Linked DNA regions of Solanum lycopersicum. The protein of the gene in region 2 binds, or shares a complex with, the protein of the main gene of each other region. Links are inferred from orthologs where the notes say so. Each region holds a gene or a part of one and is shown on either strand. Other genes may lie near its edges. The genes, in order: actin-related protein 2/3 complex subunit 3, actin-related protein 2/3 complex subunit 2A and actin-related protein 2.

Region 1 (6,463 bases), on a different chromosome or scaffold from region 2:
AATTTCATGATAAAGGCATGTGCTAAATAATATCAATATACAATCAAACTATATTTCAAAACGGACTTGACAGCATAAAAGGGAAATATAGCATATCACTTTGATATATGTACGTGAAAAGATGAGGAGAACAAGGGGAAAGAGAGATATATGAGAAAAAGAGCAAGTTATTTCACTCTCTAAATCCGATCACTTCAGTTAACTTGAGACGCCCTAAGCAGGAATTCATTTTCTAGGCCAACACACAACAACTCTTTCCTCCCGTCATATTCCTCCAAAATAACGATTGTTCATATTATTTTGGACAATTTGAGGCCATAGGAGGTGATTGAAAAAATTGGACACAGATGTATGGAACAACACAGGGGATCTCAAAATTGTTGGCCGCAATTTTCTGTCAGACTGCTAATGATCAGCTCAAGATGACAACTACCATCTGTTTCCTCAGATTACAATGGCTAATGGCAGTATGTTTCAGTCAGGTGTTCCTTCTTTTTTCCAAAAGAAGCCATTGAGGGGCTCAGAGTTGACACTAACAAACATATATAGATTTTCCTAATTGTGCCAAAGTACTTTCAAAATGTCACAGTTGACAAGCTTTGACCAACACTACTACACAGTTTCTGTAATGATAATCCAATATTACTTTTATAACAGAATACAATTTTATTAGACAACACCCAAGGGAACTCGATCTATATACAAAGCATACAAAAAACCCATCATTTTTTATCTTTTCATCCAACTTCTACTGACCATCCTACCATGAAGAACAGAGACGTCCGTCCATACACGGTCATAACTCTCAAGTAGTGGTTGTACAAAAACTAACAAATCCTTCATCCATCAGAAAATGGAACCTTCTGAGAGATTTTGAGAGTTCAGATGAGAGGGATTTAAAATTGTAAATGGTTTAGGAGAAGATTGATAGTCGAGAAAAACACAAGGCATTACTGAGTATTTTGCAATTCAAGGCTGCACAACTTAGGAAAAAGAGCACAATGGATTAAAATAAATTGCAGTTTTAACAGTGTCTGGATATCCATTACTCGGCAAAAGTGATAAAGCACATCATTTCAGTCAAAGATAATGGAGTTCACAGAAGTCTTCTGATTTGCACTTCCCTTTTTTTGGAAATTGGCATCTGGAAGTTTTCATACTATCAACCCACATTGACTCATCCCAATCTTTAAGAAAAAGATTGTTGATCCCAACTTCTATTACCCTACTAAGAAAGTCTTCCAGTTCATATAATCTTTCTCCACTTAGAACCAAATGCAATGTTGTAACATGTCAAAAAGGTTTCAAGCCATACAAATGTAGCGTACATGAAAATTCCAGAAGAATTAGATTGGCACAATTAGACTAGGATATCATCATCTGAATAACTATGAGATGTGAATTTGTTTGTTTTCATTTTAGAATCTCAAAGGAAAAAAATTAAAGCAAACAGCAAACTCAAAATTAACCAAAATCATTTATTGGTGGTTTATTCACATATAAAAAGAAGGTTGCTTCGTTCAAATAACAACTTACCTGCTTCTTTTTTAGATTGGGCTGGAGAAAATAAGCTTGGGAATGGGAAACCTGCCTCTCCAGGTACAGGAACATTTTCCAGACCTAGGTTGATGATAGCCTTGGTTCCTTCAGCTAAAGTTCGGCAGCCTTCAAGCCTCTTTAAGGCTATATTGATATACAATGTCAAATAGATAAGTAGCTTGTCAGATGAGCTTTTAATATCAAAGTTTTTGAAGAAGACATTTGCTCGGAAGAATGTGATTGCTTCATCAACAATATCGGTTGTATCTGCTCAAAAATAAGATCAGCATCACCATAATAATGTGGAGACATTCTCTTAATAAGGAAAAGACTCGTAAGACTAACCTTGTTCTGAAACTGGAGCAGGTCCCCTTATATGGCTTTTCAGAGGTAACAAAGGACATCCACAAGCTTTACTAATTCCTTCCTCATCAACGAAACTGGAATGATAAACCTGCAATTGAATCAAAATCAGGTTTCAGCACTCAATGGGACAAGTTGTTATGGGTTTAAACACCCTATAAAACAAAAATAATAGAGTGAATAAAATAGAAAGGACAAATTCATTAGAGTTGAATACAGAAAATTCATCGCCAAGAAAAATAGAGTCCTCAAACAACCCCGGATAGCAGATGCACATTAGGGAAGAGATCCTGAACGATCATAAGGACCATCAGGCGCTCCAAGACCAAGAGCATCCAAGGATTACACATCAAGAAGTTACAGATCTCTAAGAGATAATCAGAAGATGCTTGGAGAGCATGGCGAAGATTCGAGCAAAGCATATCATGTTTGAGAGTTCAAGGAGTGCTTGGAAGTGGCTGAAAAAAAAACTTGCTGGAAAGTAAAGTCCAGCACACGGCTAAGGCATTGGGTGTGGACAGAAGGAGCTAAGGCTGGACGCCTTGCACCGAAACACAAACACCAAAAGTTAAGCGGGCTGGAAATTACGACTCAGTGCAGCGGGCTGAACTTGAGGAATCGGTCATGTGTGACACACTGGTCTTACAAATTGGGAGGCTTTTCAGTTAGTGTAATTTATTCTTTTCTCAAACATAGGTAATATAATCTGCACATAAGGTTAAACTCGTTTTTAGAGAGGTTTTGATATAATTTTGAGATTGATATCTTTCTGAGGCTCAAACAGTCTTTGTCCGGACTGAATTTCAAAATTCTTTCAAGCTTGAACCTTGGTGGTAATTCTTTTTACTTCTAAATCTTTATATTTTTGGTTCTTTCTTTTCTGTTCTTCAGTTTTGGTTGGAATTTCTATCATGTTATTTCCATTAATCAGTGTGTAAGATACCGTACTGCATGCATGTATCCAAATCATATCTAAGTCCCCTACTCTAAATCAGTTACTGTCTTGTTTATCACCATTAGACTATATATAGACTTCTTGAAGTGAGTACAGATCAAAGAAAGACCACAATCCATCCCATATTGCCAATAACAGATCCTCATTGCCAAGATGTTTTAAAAACAGAATACAACATTTGTCATTTATTTATTCCTCTTTGAAGAAACCAAAGTGTAACTCAAAATAGTGGAATGAACACATGAAATGTAAGCCATGTAGCTCATTTAGTGCACCAAACCAGGAAAAGGGCCAAGTCGATCACCAAAGGAAAAGAAACAGCATGGTTTTCATCATGCGTGGAAGTTATCACACTATCAACTCAGAGAGATAATTGTCACCAAAGTAATGAAATATGTAAGCAAAAAAATGCTTTCTTTACCATTTTCCTTGCTGAAAATTTTGCTTCTTAGCACCAGAAGGCAATGTATAATTTCGAACCAAAGAGGCTATAACACCAATCTGCAGATGCACTCATCAAGTATCAGATAACTAAGATTAATTAGAACACAACTAACATGACTCCAATATAAGAGGACGTGCATCAAAATTTACGATTACTTCATCTACATCAGATAACTAGCTATGCATCTAAGTAATATTCAGGTAATCTTCCATATAGTCCAACATCTTCCGTCCTCTCTCCCCTTGTTCCTTTTTTATTTCCAGATCATCTATGCACTTTCATTCCCAACCATTCTATTCGTATCTTTTTAATTTGCGCTACTATAGAATTATCCATTAAACACAGGCAGAGCTACAGCTTCGACCAAAACCAGTAGGTTCGGCTCAAATCTTGTATTTGCGTTTAAGAATCCACCTAATATGCATAAATAAGTTATCAATAACTTAGTAAACACCGTTTTCTAGAATCCATACACTCAAATTCCTAGCTCACCCTTGATTAAACATGGTTTAGCAAATCATGTAAGTTATCTTACATTTCCCATAACATCAACTATAATGCCAGTTTTTCCCTCTTTAGTTACACATCAAAAAGTTCCCTATATCGCCATAAAAACACAAATATAGCATCTCATTTCCAATTTTAAGTTTTTTTTCAATCCGAATTCTATAAGCAAGATCTCCGACCTAGCTATTTCCCCTAATTCCCAAGCGAATTATATTAACTGAATTACGATATCAATTAAACAGTTTAAAGCATTTTGGAAAAAGCAATTATAATCACAGTAGTAACAATCACGGCAACAGTTTCAACAACAAAAACGCAATATGTTAAACATATGATAATAAGAGTAGATACGAAAAGATATGCAACAGATCGTAATTTTACGTACTGGATTTCCGAGAAGAGATAGTTAATTTCACCGGCGAGAGATGTTGAGATCGACAGGGATGGGTGATATTTTCCGGCGAAGATCAAAGAAGAAGTGAAGAGAGAATCGGGTATAAACGGTGATGGTAGTTGAAGATGGGCTTAACGATCAACTATTATTGGGCTCAATGTTTATGGGCCTCTTCTTAACCAATTTGAAGTTTAGTAAAATAGTACGATAATTGAGGTATAAGAAATAACGAGCGATAAAAGAAATTGAAGGACGAGAAACTATATGAGTAATGCTAGGACTACTAGTGTGGACGTATAGCAAGACGACACACACTACTGCCTACTAACTTCTTTAGCCTAATACGTGCCTTTCAAAACCTTATATCTAAAGTCGTATCCTTATTAAGTCGAAAATGTGTCATGTTCTATCTAATTACCTCTCTCCAAATACTTCTTCGACCTATCTCTACCTTTTCGAGGCCGCCCATTATCAACCTCTCACACCTTCATATTGGGACATTCGTGCAGCTCCTCTTTACATACATTAGCCTTGCTTTCTACATCTTGTCCTTCATCAAAATCACTCTCATGCACCTTGTCTCCGAATATCCTCGTTTCTAATCATGTCTTATTATTATTCCCACACATTCATCGCAAACATTTCATCTCCGTAGCTTTCATATTTTGAACATGAAAGTTCTTGACTAATCGACACTCTATCTCATACTATACGGTAGGTTTAACCATCACTTTTTGTCAAACTTGCCTAGCATTTTTTTCTTTCCTTATACTTTATGTCACGAATATACAGGTATCATATTGTTAAACAACGTAAATATATATGTATAATTTTTTTTTAATCAAGAAATATATCCATTTCAAATCACAAACTTAACGTTATATTTGCGCCTTTTCCATAAAGTATATATGATTTTTAAGGAGTCTAGATTTAATAATAGACTAATTGAAATACCCTACTTTATAATTCACCAATAATAATGATGACTACCTAATTTCTAAAAGGGGAATAATTCTAGGAATAATGCTATTCTATGAAAACTTTTGATAATGACATTGTTTTGAAAAAATTATTTCTCTACTTTTTCTTTTTTTTTAAAATTTGTGGTCTTCATTGTTCTAACTCTTAATCTTAAGAATAATCCATCACAAAATTCTCTAATTTCAATCAGTTCAACTTGCAATAATTTTGGGGCTTAGCTTTTTTCTAATTACTTTAGTTGATTTTGAATTGAAATATTGATATATTAACAAATTTAACATTCTTTTTTTTCTAGTAAAATTCAATATTTCAAAGGGAGAGTGTGGAAAGGGAATCTGTGCTAATGTTAACGTCAAAGTTATATAATTGAATTCAAATTAATAAGTTAAATATACCAGCTGTCTGGAATAAGTTTTTATGTATATTTAAATTAAAATTCTATTCGTAAATATAATGATATAAATCTATTTTGATTGTGACATTTATTGACTAAACATTGTAAATTTCACAAATTAATGTGAAGTAGTTGTGTATTAAAAAAAAACTTTAGGTCAAAATCAACATTATCTAAAAAATCTAATATAATTCTTTATTTATTGATAGTGAAATCCATTTTTTGAAAATATCTCATGTATAAAATTCAATCACTTGTGGTCCACAAAGCCAACATTTTCTCATCTTATTTATTGTCTTTATGATTTGTTAATCATCCAACAATAAAAATAACACTAATTTTAATTTATTTCTCGTTCAATATCAAATATCTGATTTTTAAATTTATATTAAATAAAATTTATTGAAGGAGGAAATATTTTTTCTACTAGAATTTTTTTTTTAATTCTAAAATTTAAACAAGAGACTTCTGATTAAATCTCGAATTTCGTCATTAATTTTGCATAAATATATTGAAAATGACTTATTAGTTAAAAAAAAGTCCAATCTATTTGATAATTTAATAACATTTAAGCTACCTTGGTCCCTCCACGTGGCACCACCACATGTGCCAGACAAGGACATATAAAGATTTTTCTCACATTACTAAATTATAATTATGTATATATTATATTTAATTGCCATTTGAATTGGAGTATTTTTCAATTTGAATTTCTTTCAAGTAAAAAAAAAAATTAATTAATATGCAATTTGTTTTCAATAATTATATGTATAAAATTAGTAGAGTCCCACCAACAAAACTTAATCCCCACAACACAACCAAAAAAAAAAAAAAAACACTTCAAAGTTATTGCAATGTCACTAAGGAAACTTCAAAATTTGTGTT
Region 2 (6,445 bases):
TTTATTTTACGCACCAGCAACATCCAGGAGGATATTTTCCTCCTGGATTTGGTGGATACCTCATAATACCACCAGCAGTACAGATATGGTTATTCTTAGGTAATGTCAAATACTTTATAAGAATAAGAGTAGGGGCAATGAGACTTTTAGTGGTGCAATATTCAAGAAGTTGTAAATAGTTAAGCTATATAGTTCTCCATTACGGAAAATGGACTCAATGGACTGAAAGGAAACACATGGAGGAAGTATATTACAAAAAGCTTTAACCTAAGGTGCATCCAAACATATAACACAGATCAAAGGTGAACCATGGCACACAGAGTTAAATTTGGCAGGGGCTTTTTATTCTTTATTCCAAAGGGAGTTATTCCCCTGCTTGTATACTTTTTTGCGTTCATTGAGTACCTCTGATTGTTTTGTGCTTACGTCTCTCCTTTGAGTACAAAATTTGTTCTTGGGGAACAAATGTTCTAAAGCCACCAATTGAAGATCAAGTCAAAAAAATTCTGGAGTACAAGACAACAAGACTGGGATTCAAAGGAAAATGGATAAGTTTGATTCACCATTGCTAGCCACAGTTGAACTTTCTTTCTGGATAATGTGAACCAACTGGCTCTTTAATTTAATCCCTATACTCAACATTCAGATGACTTTGCCCTTTCCTTTTGGGCAACACATGGTTGCCAACTTTTACACATGAATAGGTGATTTTTGTAGAGAAAAACTCTAGCTTGTTTAATTGTTTCCTGTTACAGATCTTTCATCGGACTTGCATCCTTTTGTTAAGAGATAACTTACTGAACTATGATATTCAAGAACAGAAATTCAGAAGCTTGGAGGCCCAACTTCGAGCCAACAGTGAATGCTGCATACTAGTATAACATACAGTTATATCTTTTTTTCCTTGAAATATTTTGCCACTACTCAGACAATAAATTGTACTCTTCGTAGCTAGAAGAACGAGTGAAAAATTGACAATTTCCCTTTTAGTTTTAGGAATAATGAAAACATGCACATAACAAAAAAAAAAAAAAAACTCCAAGAGAAAGGAAACACTGAAATTTTCAACTGAATAGAAACTGAGAAGAATGAAACCCTTTTTTCATGTGTGTGTGCTGAACGTGTGCTTATTAATGAGTGTTCTCAACTTATATTAAAAAGAATTTGCTAAAATAGACATGCAACATGAAGCGGATGCGATCACATTTATTTCTTGATTACCCTTAGGAGAGTAAGAACCCCCCAAACTTTTCTAGTAATGCAGTTTGGACTAACATCCTAATACCATCCAGCACAACTATAGCAAGCTCATAATGACCTTAAAGAGGAAACTTGCAGAACCTTCATCTGGGGGAAGTTTTGACAAGTTTAGTTTAAGTGTGAGATTAAACCCATCTCTTGGAGGATCAAGAATTTGTGCAACTGCACCATATGCTGCTTTTATGGCTTCTAGCGCTCCAAGTGGAAGTCCACCAAAGAGGACGGTTTCTGGAGGTGGTATGGGCAATGATACAGAAAGAAGCAAGACATTTGGATTTTTCACTGAACCCTGCAGAATATGTTACAGATTAGCCAGCCAGATGTATCATAGATGACAGCATGTCAAAATAAGATATGACCATCTCAATTAACATTTTTAAAATAATGATGTGTTTAGTGGTTCTTCCATTTTTCTTTTGAAGTGAAAAAATTGGTTAAAAAATAAAGCAAAATCATCAAATTGGACTGTTGTATGATAATAACTCACCTGAATATGGTAACGGATATCATCAAATTCAACCCATTGGCTGTCCAGTTCAACCCCTTTCTCAAGACTGCAAAATAAGGATGTGCTGTCAGCATCTACTACAGATTATTCAAACAAATGACGGAATGGTATCGGTTCTATTTGCAATACAGGGCTGCCAAATTTTTGGAAGATTCAAGGATCAGAAAACTAGGTATGTCATATTTTAGAACTTTAAGCATACACCATTTGGTGAAAGAATAAGCTAAGAGCAATTGGACAAATAAAGGAACCGGAATGCTATATTGTTAACAGGGAGGGGTTCCCATGATAAATCACTAAATGGAAGTAAACAAATTAAAATGATCAATTTTAATATCACGGTAGCTAATGCTTGAACAATTAATCAAATTTTGAACATTTGTGACTTTATTGGCAGCACTTTTGGATTGATTAAGCTGATTCTACTTCAGTAACTGATAGTGTAGGCAGTTCATGTTCATCCTCTACTCCAGCTCCCTGGGATGCGAGGAAGTAAATGCAACTCTCCAAACTGTTATGCAAAAGGTAGAAAAAGTTGAAATACTTTTGCATTTTTTGGAAATGCACATTACAACATTATGGTTATTATTCACATAGTATTTCCGTGCTTCACTACATAGCGATCATCTAGAGCTTGCCAACTATTGGACATACTCATACAGAACATTCACCCATATACCCATGTATCACGGGTGTTAATGACTGAAAGATTACATCTTTACACTTCAATTAGAGCAACAACAAATGTTAATACCTAGCAACGCATCTTCGTACTCAAGCACAGAAATGAGTTGGAACTACACAGAAACATCAACTATACTAGCTGTAACTCAATCAACTAGAGCTTGCTAAATATCGGACATACTCATTCCAAACAAATCCATGTAATAGCACCCAGGGTGTGGCCTACTGATCAATGAAGTAGGTTGAGAACCATGAAATCTCATGTTCAATCCCAACAGAGACAAAAATACTTGGTGATTTCTTCCCATTTGTTCTAACCTTGGTGGATAAAGTTACCTATTAATTGTTGGTGGTGGGAAGTGGCGGATATCCCATGGAATTAGTCAAGGTGCGCGAGGAGTGGAACGTATCCCGTGGATTTAGTGGAGGTACACGAAAGCCGGTTCACACACCATGGTTATCGGGGAAAAAAAATCGCAACGTTATGCTTAAGAAAGTGCAACAACAAATGCTAATGCAGCAGAAGCATATAAACTCTTTCATATTCACAACCACGCACAGAAATAAGCTAGAACTATGCAAACATTAAACAATCTAGCTGCAATACAATCAGCTCCTATAAAAATAAACAATAATGCAATCCACACTTCCATAACCAGGCTTAATCTTATTAGCTCAGTTCATTAGCTGACTACCATAACTTTCACCAAGCTCTCGATTCCCACACTTTGTAATCCCTTTCCCTTCTCCTACCCTAACTTTCTTTTAAAATACTAAAAGATTGCAACTTTATGCTTATGCTAATCCCAGCAGATACATACAAGTACTTTTATATTCATAATCATACACAAAAATGAGCAAAAACTATGCAAACATCAATCAATAATGCAATCCAGACTACCCTAAACCACAAATTGACCCGAAAAAAGTGTTTAAAATAGGGAAAAGTGAAAAAAGTGAAATGGATTTAAGCTTACCTCTGGACGCGATTGTACAAGATCTGAAGAAGATATCTAGAGGGAGATTGCAGTAATATCATCGATCTCTTTCACAAAACAAATTCGCAGTTTGGGTTCTTTGAAAATCAAAGAAATTAGAAAGAAACAGAAAATCAAAGAATCTTGAATGGACAATTTGATGAAGTTTTGTTATTAAAAGTTTGATTTCTCTTTTGTCAATTTGTTCAAGTGGGAAAAGTTATGTAAGAATTATTGAATAAATCAAATCACTTTTTTGTTACAAACACCGGAACCTATTAATTTTATTCTCGAACTATTAATACTCTATTAACTTGACTAAAATATATTTCCTAAATTACGTCAAGTTTAATTATATTTTTGCTACTTCTCTCGACTTTCTATTAAGTTTGCGTCTGGACATGCGATATGAAATCAACTTTTGGACATGTCATTTCATATCATGAGATAAAATTCCGACTTATGTGAAAATCATGATTTGGAAATTTTCAAATACAAAAATTGACCCACAAATTTATATTTTGTAATGAAAACTCCATATATATATCTACTAATTATTTATTTGATAGGTAATTAATGTCAAATTATTTTATCTTCGTATATGTTTTAATCTCCATGATTTCTTTTTGTTATTTACTATTTTTTGTTTTGAAATTTCTAGCTCCGCACTGAATGAAAAAAAAAAAAAGAGAACTTTTTTTAAGTCTTCTAAATATATATAAGGTCAATTATGATTATACTTTGCATTTTGATGTCATGCCATATATAAAGTATAAACCTTCTTATTCAAGATTCTCTGAATATTAATTCTTTAGTCGGACTGTCTATAGACTTAAGTCGAATCATTCAAAAATACACTACTTTTAGTAAAAATATGAAAGCATCCGACAATATTTTTGAATAGTCCGAGCAACGTAGTTTTCAGGTTAGACCTGCCTTGATTTTCTGAATAGTAATGATATCAGTCTTAAAAGACTTGGCTAAAATGTTATCAGGAATGCTTGTATTGAACACAGAGTTAGGAACAGAAACAGTGCCTGCATTTGCACTTCCAAAGGCAGATATACCCCAAGCACAATTTTCAGCATCAGCATTGTATTGATAGTGTACTAGTCCTTTAGGGAACACGAAAACGTCTCCTGTTTGCAATGTTTGAGTGTAAATCTTGTTCGTGGTATCGATGAATCCTACTTCCAATGTCCCTGACATGAGGAAAAGTAGCTCGGCTGAACGTGGATGAGTGTGGACAGGGTTGACAGAGCCTGCAGGGTACTGTAGGATTGCATAGGAAACACTTTGTCCGTTCAGGGCTGGAAACTCCGTCATTGCTGCCTTTGTTACCTTGAATTTTTCGGGTGATGGAGCTCCAACGATGCCCCTTAGGCCTGAGAAGGTGAAGTAGGAAGCGTCAACTGATGGCACGCTCAGTGGCAGCACAAAGTCTGTTAGGATGTCAGGGTCACCAGCTGATGCCATTTGAAAAATGACTAGTGATGTTGCTAGAGCTAACAGAACTATGCAACTTGAAGTTTTTGATTCCATTTTTTCTCCTGTTTTCGTTTATTTGTTTGAATGATTTCTTGATGGACTAAAGATTTTATAGCTATACAAGGGACATATCAAACAAGAATCGAGATTGAAGTCCCCGATGATTCGCAAAAACAAAAATGAATTGTGAATATAGGAAACGGCTCCAGAAGTTTATTGTGTCAACTTAAGAAACAACACTTGCTCACCTCTTTCCAGTTCTGGCTTTCAATATGGACAAGAGAAAGCAGTTTACTTTTTCCCTTTAAAAATTGTTATGTTTTCGACTTCATGCACTTTGCTTACATTACAAGATCAAAGAGTCCATAAAAGTATTATCTTGAAGCATATAACTGATGAAACCTAAGGAATATTGAGATGATTTTCGAAATATGGAATCTTATAATGTGATTTCCAGGTAGTTTCTGCTATCAAAAACAAATAAGTATAATGTGTCAAGCTTAGTTAACATCTATTACCAACTGGCTTATCCTTCAGCAAAATTTGGTTCTGGTTTTGGTCTTTTTTATAAATTTGTGGTCTAACAGAACTAATAGTCATCATTTTACAACTTATTTGTATACATTTTACCTGTATCAACAAAAAATGGCCTCATTCCTCTTGAAAAGTGTCCTTGTTGTTGTAGCCGTCTTTTTCATTTCTTCGATGGCTCAAGCTAGTGATCCGGATATCTTGTCTGACTTCATTGTTCCTGCAGGAAGCACCATAGATGGGAACTTCTTTACCTTCACTGGTACTCGTGATATTTTTGGCAGCATCATTGAAAAGTTCAGTGTGACAAAAGTGAGCAAGGCAGAGTTTCCAGGTTTGGACGGCCAGAGTGTTTCGTTGGCAGTGCTTCAGTTCCCCGGAGGAGGTGTCAACCCGCCCCACACACACCCTCGTGCAGCTGAACTGTTATTCGTCGTTAAAGGTAGTCTTGAGGTTGGATTTGTGGACACCGCTAACAAGCTTTACACTCAGGCTCTCCAAGTTGGTGACTTGTTTGTGTTCCCTAAAGGACTAGTGCATTATCAGTACAATTCTGATTGGAATAAATCAGCTATAGCCGTGTCTGGTTTTGGCAGCACTAGTACTGGAACTGTGTCACTTCCTACAACATTGTTTGCTACTGGGATCGATGATCAAGTTCTCGCCAAGTCCTTCAAGTCTGATATTGCCACTATTCGGAAGATCAAGGCTGGTCTTTCATCTTAGGCAATTTTCTGTATTTTCACCACTAAATTTGTGTGTCTCGACATGTACTTACAAGATAGTACTGCAGTCTGCATATTTTATTAGTCCACAGTTTCCTCTAATGTAAGACAACATTTGCTACTCATGATCAATAGCAGTTATGGACATTCAATAATATTTTTCTAACGGTACATTACTCGTACAATAGGCTGGCTCCATTTTATGTATATAAAGTAGATGTTGAATTCTGTTGGCTTTTCAACATTTTTGTGTCTTTATATATTGAACCCCT
Region 3 (5,389 bases), on a different chromosome or scaffold from region 2:
ACAGTAAACCAAAAGAAATGTTAACTGCAAAAGTAAAGTTCAAAGGAATAAATCACAAAGAGATGAAAGTCCTTCTTGATGACAGCTCACGGATATTCTTAACAGAAATTCTTCATGCATTAAAGTGTATACCTAAATTTCCTAATATAGCACATTTCTAAACAATACTCATATCCTCTCGAATAGAATTTCATACTCTAATTTATGATACGTAACAAGATGAGAGTTAAAATAGTATGTAGTGAAAATGAATATATATTTCACGTTGATTTGCATTTTTAGATATGCCTTCATGCATTTCATGGTCGTTATGATACTAACAATTTCAGAAGGGTACTTATGAGCAGGAGAAAAATAGAACAACTATGAGGAATAAGTCATCAGTCAGATATACCAAAGCTGACTGCTACCAGGAGGAGGGAATCAGCAAAATTTTGATACCGTAAGAGGAGAATCATAAAATTCAAAATCCACAGGGAGGTGAATTAGAGTTCTTCGCACAATAAAAGAGTGTTATCAAAGTTATAGCATAACAGTTTTACAGTTCAAATTTCTCTGCCAGATTGATTAAACATTAGTCCTGAGGAAAAAATAATTCAAGGATATACTTTGGTTCATAAACTCAAAGCAAACTGTCACACCCGTTAAAACTTCCTAGTCTGTATGACAATAATGTAGCATTTAGAATCAACCACGCACAATTGCACTACTCAGCTCCAAGTTCTCAAAGCTTTATAATAAGGAAGAGTATTTTGAGTAAGTTACCGACTAGGTAAGCCAGGATACATGGTACTTCCACCACTCAAAACAATATGCTGGTAGAGCTGCAAGTGAAAATTTAAACATATGATGGATGGCAAATGACAACACTATGGCAAAGAATACAGAAGAAATTTCAAAGTTGAAGTACCATCATCCTGTTGTCAATATCCATCTCCTGAATGCAGCGAAATACCATGTCAGCCATGCCATCACCTTCAACATCAATAAGATCCTGAAATGGACAGAAAAAGTGACACTTAGCTTCCTTCCACATACAGCAACCCATCAATAAATATATTGCAGAAGCGTGAAATAATATTTAAAATTCCTTGCACATACATCAACCCTTCAATTAGAATTTTGGAGAAACGTGGAATAATATTTCAATTTAGCTTTCTTTCACATACATCAACCCATAAAGTAGAAGTTTGGAGAAGCATATAATAGCATTTCAAACAATGCAGTTCAAAGTTCAAACAATGTGTTCTTGCTTCAATTTTTTCACAAGGACTTAATTGACACTTCATCTGAAACAAATTGGTTCAAAGATAACACTCTATTGCTTTGCTATTGAATAGTTGAGAGGTAAAAGAACTACCAAATTTAAAAAGCTGTACGACAAAAGATGGTCATGGTATTAGATAACAAGTGTCACATTGACATTTGGTGTTACATGGGATTTGCAGGATTAGATTGCTTTATGGGAATACATCAATTGCCTTTCATCTTTACCACTACGAGGAAAGCAAATCTGGTGCATTTTTATGTAAAAGGTATGTTCTTGATTTGTGAAAGAGGAAAATAAAAATGGGAATGCATGCTCACTGGAGTAAAAAGAGCCTCAGGTGCCTGGAACCTCTCTGTGCCAACTTTAAGTACCCTCCCATCTGGAAGCTGTTGAAAAACAAGTGAAATAATGAGTTACAGATGACCAAGTTTCTTATGGGAGAAAAAAGGATCTTTGCTTCCAAGAGCAAAGTACCATACCTAATTGCAGTTCAAGGTAGTAGAAAAGCTTAAAGAATAGTAGTGCCTTTGTTTTTTCCAATTAAAAGCTTATTATGGATGGAGCCTACTCACAGTATAATTCTTAACAAGAATTGTCGTTTCAAGCCCCAACTGATACTCTCTCTTGTAATCATAACTGCAGTAAAGAAAATATCATTACTCGCCAGAAGAATTAGTAAAGGGATTAATTTACAACGCAAGTAATTCACCTAATGTAGCAGAGCTTTTCTTTAATATCCCTGACAGTCTCAAAATCGGCACTTCTATTCATTGCATACCTTCAGATATGACTGACCATCAAAACTCCAGTAATGGTTTAAAATAATCAAATTAGCATGAATGACCCTATTTAGTTTATTTCAAACATATGTTGGCAATTACCCTCTCCGAAGTAGCAGATCAACCATATAAGACGTTATATGCCGTCCAGCTACATTCATTCTTTTCGTGAGGTGAGGAAATGAGTATCCATCTACAACAGGAACCTGCACCAACATATTTCTGAATAACATACAGAAGAAAAAATATCCCCACGGTTCATAGCAAGTATTACCATGTGCCACCAAAAGAACAGAGAGCTGAAAAAACACTGCCTTTATGACCAGCTTGAAGGAGCAATCTTATTAGACAGGGAGCCCAATGGACTATGCAGGAAAAAAGTTCTAGTTTTGGGAGTAGCAACTCCTAGTTTGATTACCTCAAACTTTATGAGAATTAACCTTCTCTTTTGAATCAATGTTGAACCGAGACAAACTATAGATCATGAAACAGCTATGCTTATGGAAAAACTTACAACATGTGTAACTCCATCACCTGAGTCGATGACAAGCCCAGTCAACAAACCTGCATATTGGAACATAAAAAATGAGCAAATCCATCATCAGATAGGGCCCAAGTAGAAGCAAAATATGACTTAGCCCCACCCTTGTAACAAATACCCGCTACAAAATTGCAATATCAAGACTTATGATGGTCCTTCTCGCAACAACAACATACCCAGTGTAATCCTCCCACCAAGTGGGGTTTGAGGGTAGAGTGTACGCAAACCTTACCCATAGATTTAGAGAGGTTGTTCCCGTTAGACCCTCAGCTTAAATAAGCATGCCAAACAGTTTGAAAAAAGGGGATACAAATATGAGAGCAATAACTACAATGAAATAATGCGAAACGGAGAGCATTACACAACAAAGTGCAGAAAGAACAGTAACGATGATGAAGTAATGCAATATTCTGAGCACAAACTAAATCCAAGAACAAGAAACTACGAGAATAGTGCTAATATTACTGGTAAGAAGGAAGGTCCAAGTATTACCACCAACCGTATCTATTGAGAATAATAGTAGTTAGCATAAAATTATTTAATTTGCACATTAGTTAGTTAGTTAAACATTTTACATTCCATTAGTTAGTTAAGTAGTTAGTTAGTGGAGAGAGAGTTAACAGCTGGCTTAACAGCCATGATAGCTGGCTAACACACTTGTATATATGTATGGATTCATTCTCATTTTACAGTTTAACAGAATATAGAGAAAATTTTCCCAATTAATTCTCTCACTAAAATTTTCATGTATCAGAGCTGTGAATCCACAAGATTCAGATTCACAATCAATTCAATTTGAAGACTTCGAAGCATCCATTGAGTGAGTTCAAAGAAGATGATATTGACATCAGAGGATAGTGCAGCAGCTACAGTTTCAGGAGTTTCAGCTGATACTCTTGATGGAATTGAGAAAAATCGAAATCATCCACTATATCTTCATCCCTCTGAAACTCCTGGGAGTGTATTGACATCAGTACAACTCACAGGGGCTGAAAATTACTCATTGTGGAGCAGATCGTTAATGATTAACCTTCGTGCTAAGAGCAAGCTGGGATTCGTACTTGGAACTTGTCGCAAATCTGATCACAAACCTGAATTGGAGGAGCAATGGGAGAAATGCAACGCATTCGCGTTAGTATGGATCATGAACACGGTGCCTAAAGAGTTATTGTGTGGAATCGTATATGCATCAGATGCAACAATGGTTTGGGAAGATTTGAATGAGCCCTTCAACAAGGTTGATGGATCTAGAAGCTATCAGCTTCATCGTGAAATTAGTACAATTAGTCAAGGTAATTTGACAGTTTCTGGGTACTTTACTAAATTGCTACTTCTATGCAATGAGTTTGACGCACTTGTTCCGCCTACTGCTTGTAACTGTGATAAGTCCAAAGTGTATGTTGATCATCTGCAATTTCTGCGATAATTTGTTTCTTTGATGGGTTTGAATTAGGTGTACAGTCATGCGAGGAGTCAGATTTTAATGATGAATCCATTACCTAGTGTGAGTCGAACTTATGCTATGATAACATCTGATGAAAGTCAGCGTATGACAGCTGATTCCAAAATTAGTAGAGATATGCATGAATCTATGGCTCTATATGCAGGAAGGGGAAATAATCTAATGATGCATTCTGGAAAAGGAAAATTTGGTAGTTCTTCACAGGAATCTTTAGCTTTGTATGCTGGAAGAGGAGGCCACACAAATTATGCTAACTTCTATTGTTCTCAATACCGCAAGAAGCGAGAGAATGCGCAACTACCAAACTAACCTTCTACCCAAATCCGCCACCTCTAAACTCTCCTATCGAAGGTCCTTCTCACATATAATTGAAGATGATTATGCCCCAAGAACTCATACATGTATAATGGTACCTTGAGCATACAATGTTAGAACGGCTTGAATTTGGATGAAGACACCAGCAAAGTTGTACTTCTCGAACATGGTTTCTACCTGTAATTCAAGTAAATCAGAGTATAAGTTAAGAATCATTGAAGCAGTAAAGAGAGAGAATGCTTTTCTCGAAAAAGTAAGACATTAACACAAACCATCATTTCACGATTTTTAGATGGATTGAGAGGTGGATCTGTCAGGAGAATTTTGCATTCTGTTGGATCTATCTTCACAAGCAGAATGAAAGGAAAGTTTAGTTAGTTAACCATGAACTTATCATACAATAAGCATTTCAAAGAAAAATTAGCAAGCAAAAGTTTAAACCAATCAGAAATCTTCACAGGGAAGTTAGCAGTAGAAAAATCTACCTTCAGTTCGTTGAAAAATGCATGGTCCCACACATTCCCCATATCATCCCAGTTTTGTACAATTCCATTGTTGACGGGATAAGATAAATCCAACTGATGGCGCAACTTCAAGCATTCATCTCCCACAATAATATCCTAGAGGAAGAATGTAATGAGTTAAACATTAGTCAACAAGCCTATGAGTACACTTACTTATGAAGCTCAACAGTCAGATAAAAGTGATGATGGGAAGAATCCCAATGTCCTAGTTACAAGCTATAAGTTTAAACAAAGAATCCAGAAGAATACTACGTAAGCAGAACTCAAAAAATCCTGAGGTGTATCAGAAAACAAAATAGAGTTAAAACTTCATTTCACAAGAAGTAGCTATAACATCTAGTTTAGCAAGCAACTGTAGAACTAATGAAGTTTCAACCCAGATTTTCTTTCTCTAAGAAGAGCTTACTAGTTTTTGATAAATACAAGAGAACCCTAACATTTCCAATGTAGGGTAAGCATGAAGTGAGAGATATTTACCTTCAAGTCTTGTTCCATAAG

Evidence for each region.
Region 1: actin-related protein 2/3 complex subunit 2A (region 2) and actin-related protein 2/3 complex subunit 3 share a complex: the UniProt entries of both Arabidopsis thaliana proteins name them as parts of the arp2/3 complex. The link is inferred for Solanum lycopersicum from reciprocal best matches to the Arabidopsis thaliana genes DIS2 and ARPC3.
Region 3: actin-related protein 2/3 complex subunit 2A (region 2) and actin-related protein 2 share a complex: the UniProt entries of both Arabidopsis thaliana proteins name them as parts of the arp2/3 complex. The link is inferred for Solanum lycopersicum from reciprocal best matches to the Arabidopsis thaliana genes DIS2 and ARP2.

Annotation. Positions count from the first base shown.
Region 1 is NC_090806.1:3,893,796-3,900,258, reverse strand, and holds the start of actin-related protein 2/3 complex subunit 3, read right to left. Parts: upstream 4,371-6,463; 5' UTR 4,195-4,370; intron 3,359-4,194; 5' UTR 3,282-3,358; coding exon 3,279-3,281; intron 1,994-3,278; coding exon 1,885-1,993; intron 1,807-1,884; coding exon 1,537-1,806; intron 1-1,536. UniProt on the Arabidopsis thaliana protein: Functions as a component of the Arp2/3 complex which is involved in regulation of actin polymerization and together with an activating nucleation-promoting factor (NPF) mediates the formation of branched actin networks.
Region 2 is NC_090810.1:58,673,188-58,679,632, reverse strand, and holds the start of actin-related protein 2/3 complex subunit 2A, read right to left. Parts: upstream 3,729-6,445; 5' UTR 3,492-3,728; coding exon 3,430-3,491; intron 2,280-3,429; exon of another isoform or gene 2,230-2,279; coding exon of another isoform or gene 2,204-2,229; intron 1,815-2,203; coding exon 1,748-1,814; intron 1,550-1,747; coding exon 1,342-1,549; intron 1-1,341. Other genes in the region: germin-like protein 9-3, read right to left, coding at 4,351-4,971; putative germin-like protein 9-2, read left to right, coding at 5,623-6,116. UniProt on the Arabidopsis thaliana protein: Functions as actin-binding component of the Arp2/3 complex which is involved in regulation of actin polymerization and together with an activating nucleation-promoting factor (NPF) mediates the formation of branched actin networks.
Region 3 is NC_090801.1:71,231,855-71,237,243, reverse strand, and holds part of actin-related protein 2, read right to left. Parts: coding exon 5,369-5,389; intron 4,988-5,368; coding exon 4,853-4,987; intron 4,712-4,852; coding exon 4,640-4,711; intron 4,545-4,639; coding exon 4,466-4,544; intron 2,614-4,465; coding exon 2,564-2,613; intron 2,256-2,563; coding exon 2,152-2,255; intron 2,049-2,151; coding exon 1,980-2,048; intron 1,907-1,979; coding exon 1,843-1,906; intron 1,657-1,842; coding exon 1,588-1,656; intron 995-1,587; coding exon 911-994; intron 825-910; coding exon 766-824; intron 1-765. UniProt on the Arabidopsis thaliana protein: Functions as ATP-binding component of the Arp2/3 complex which is involved in regulation of actin polymerization and together with an activating nucleation-promoting factor (NPF) mediates the formation of branched actin networks.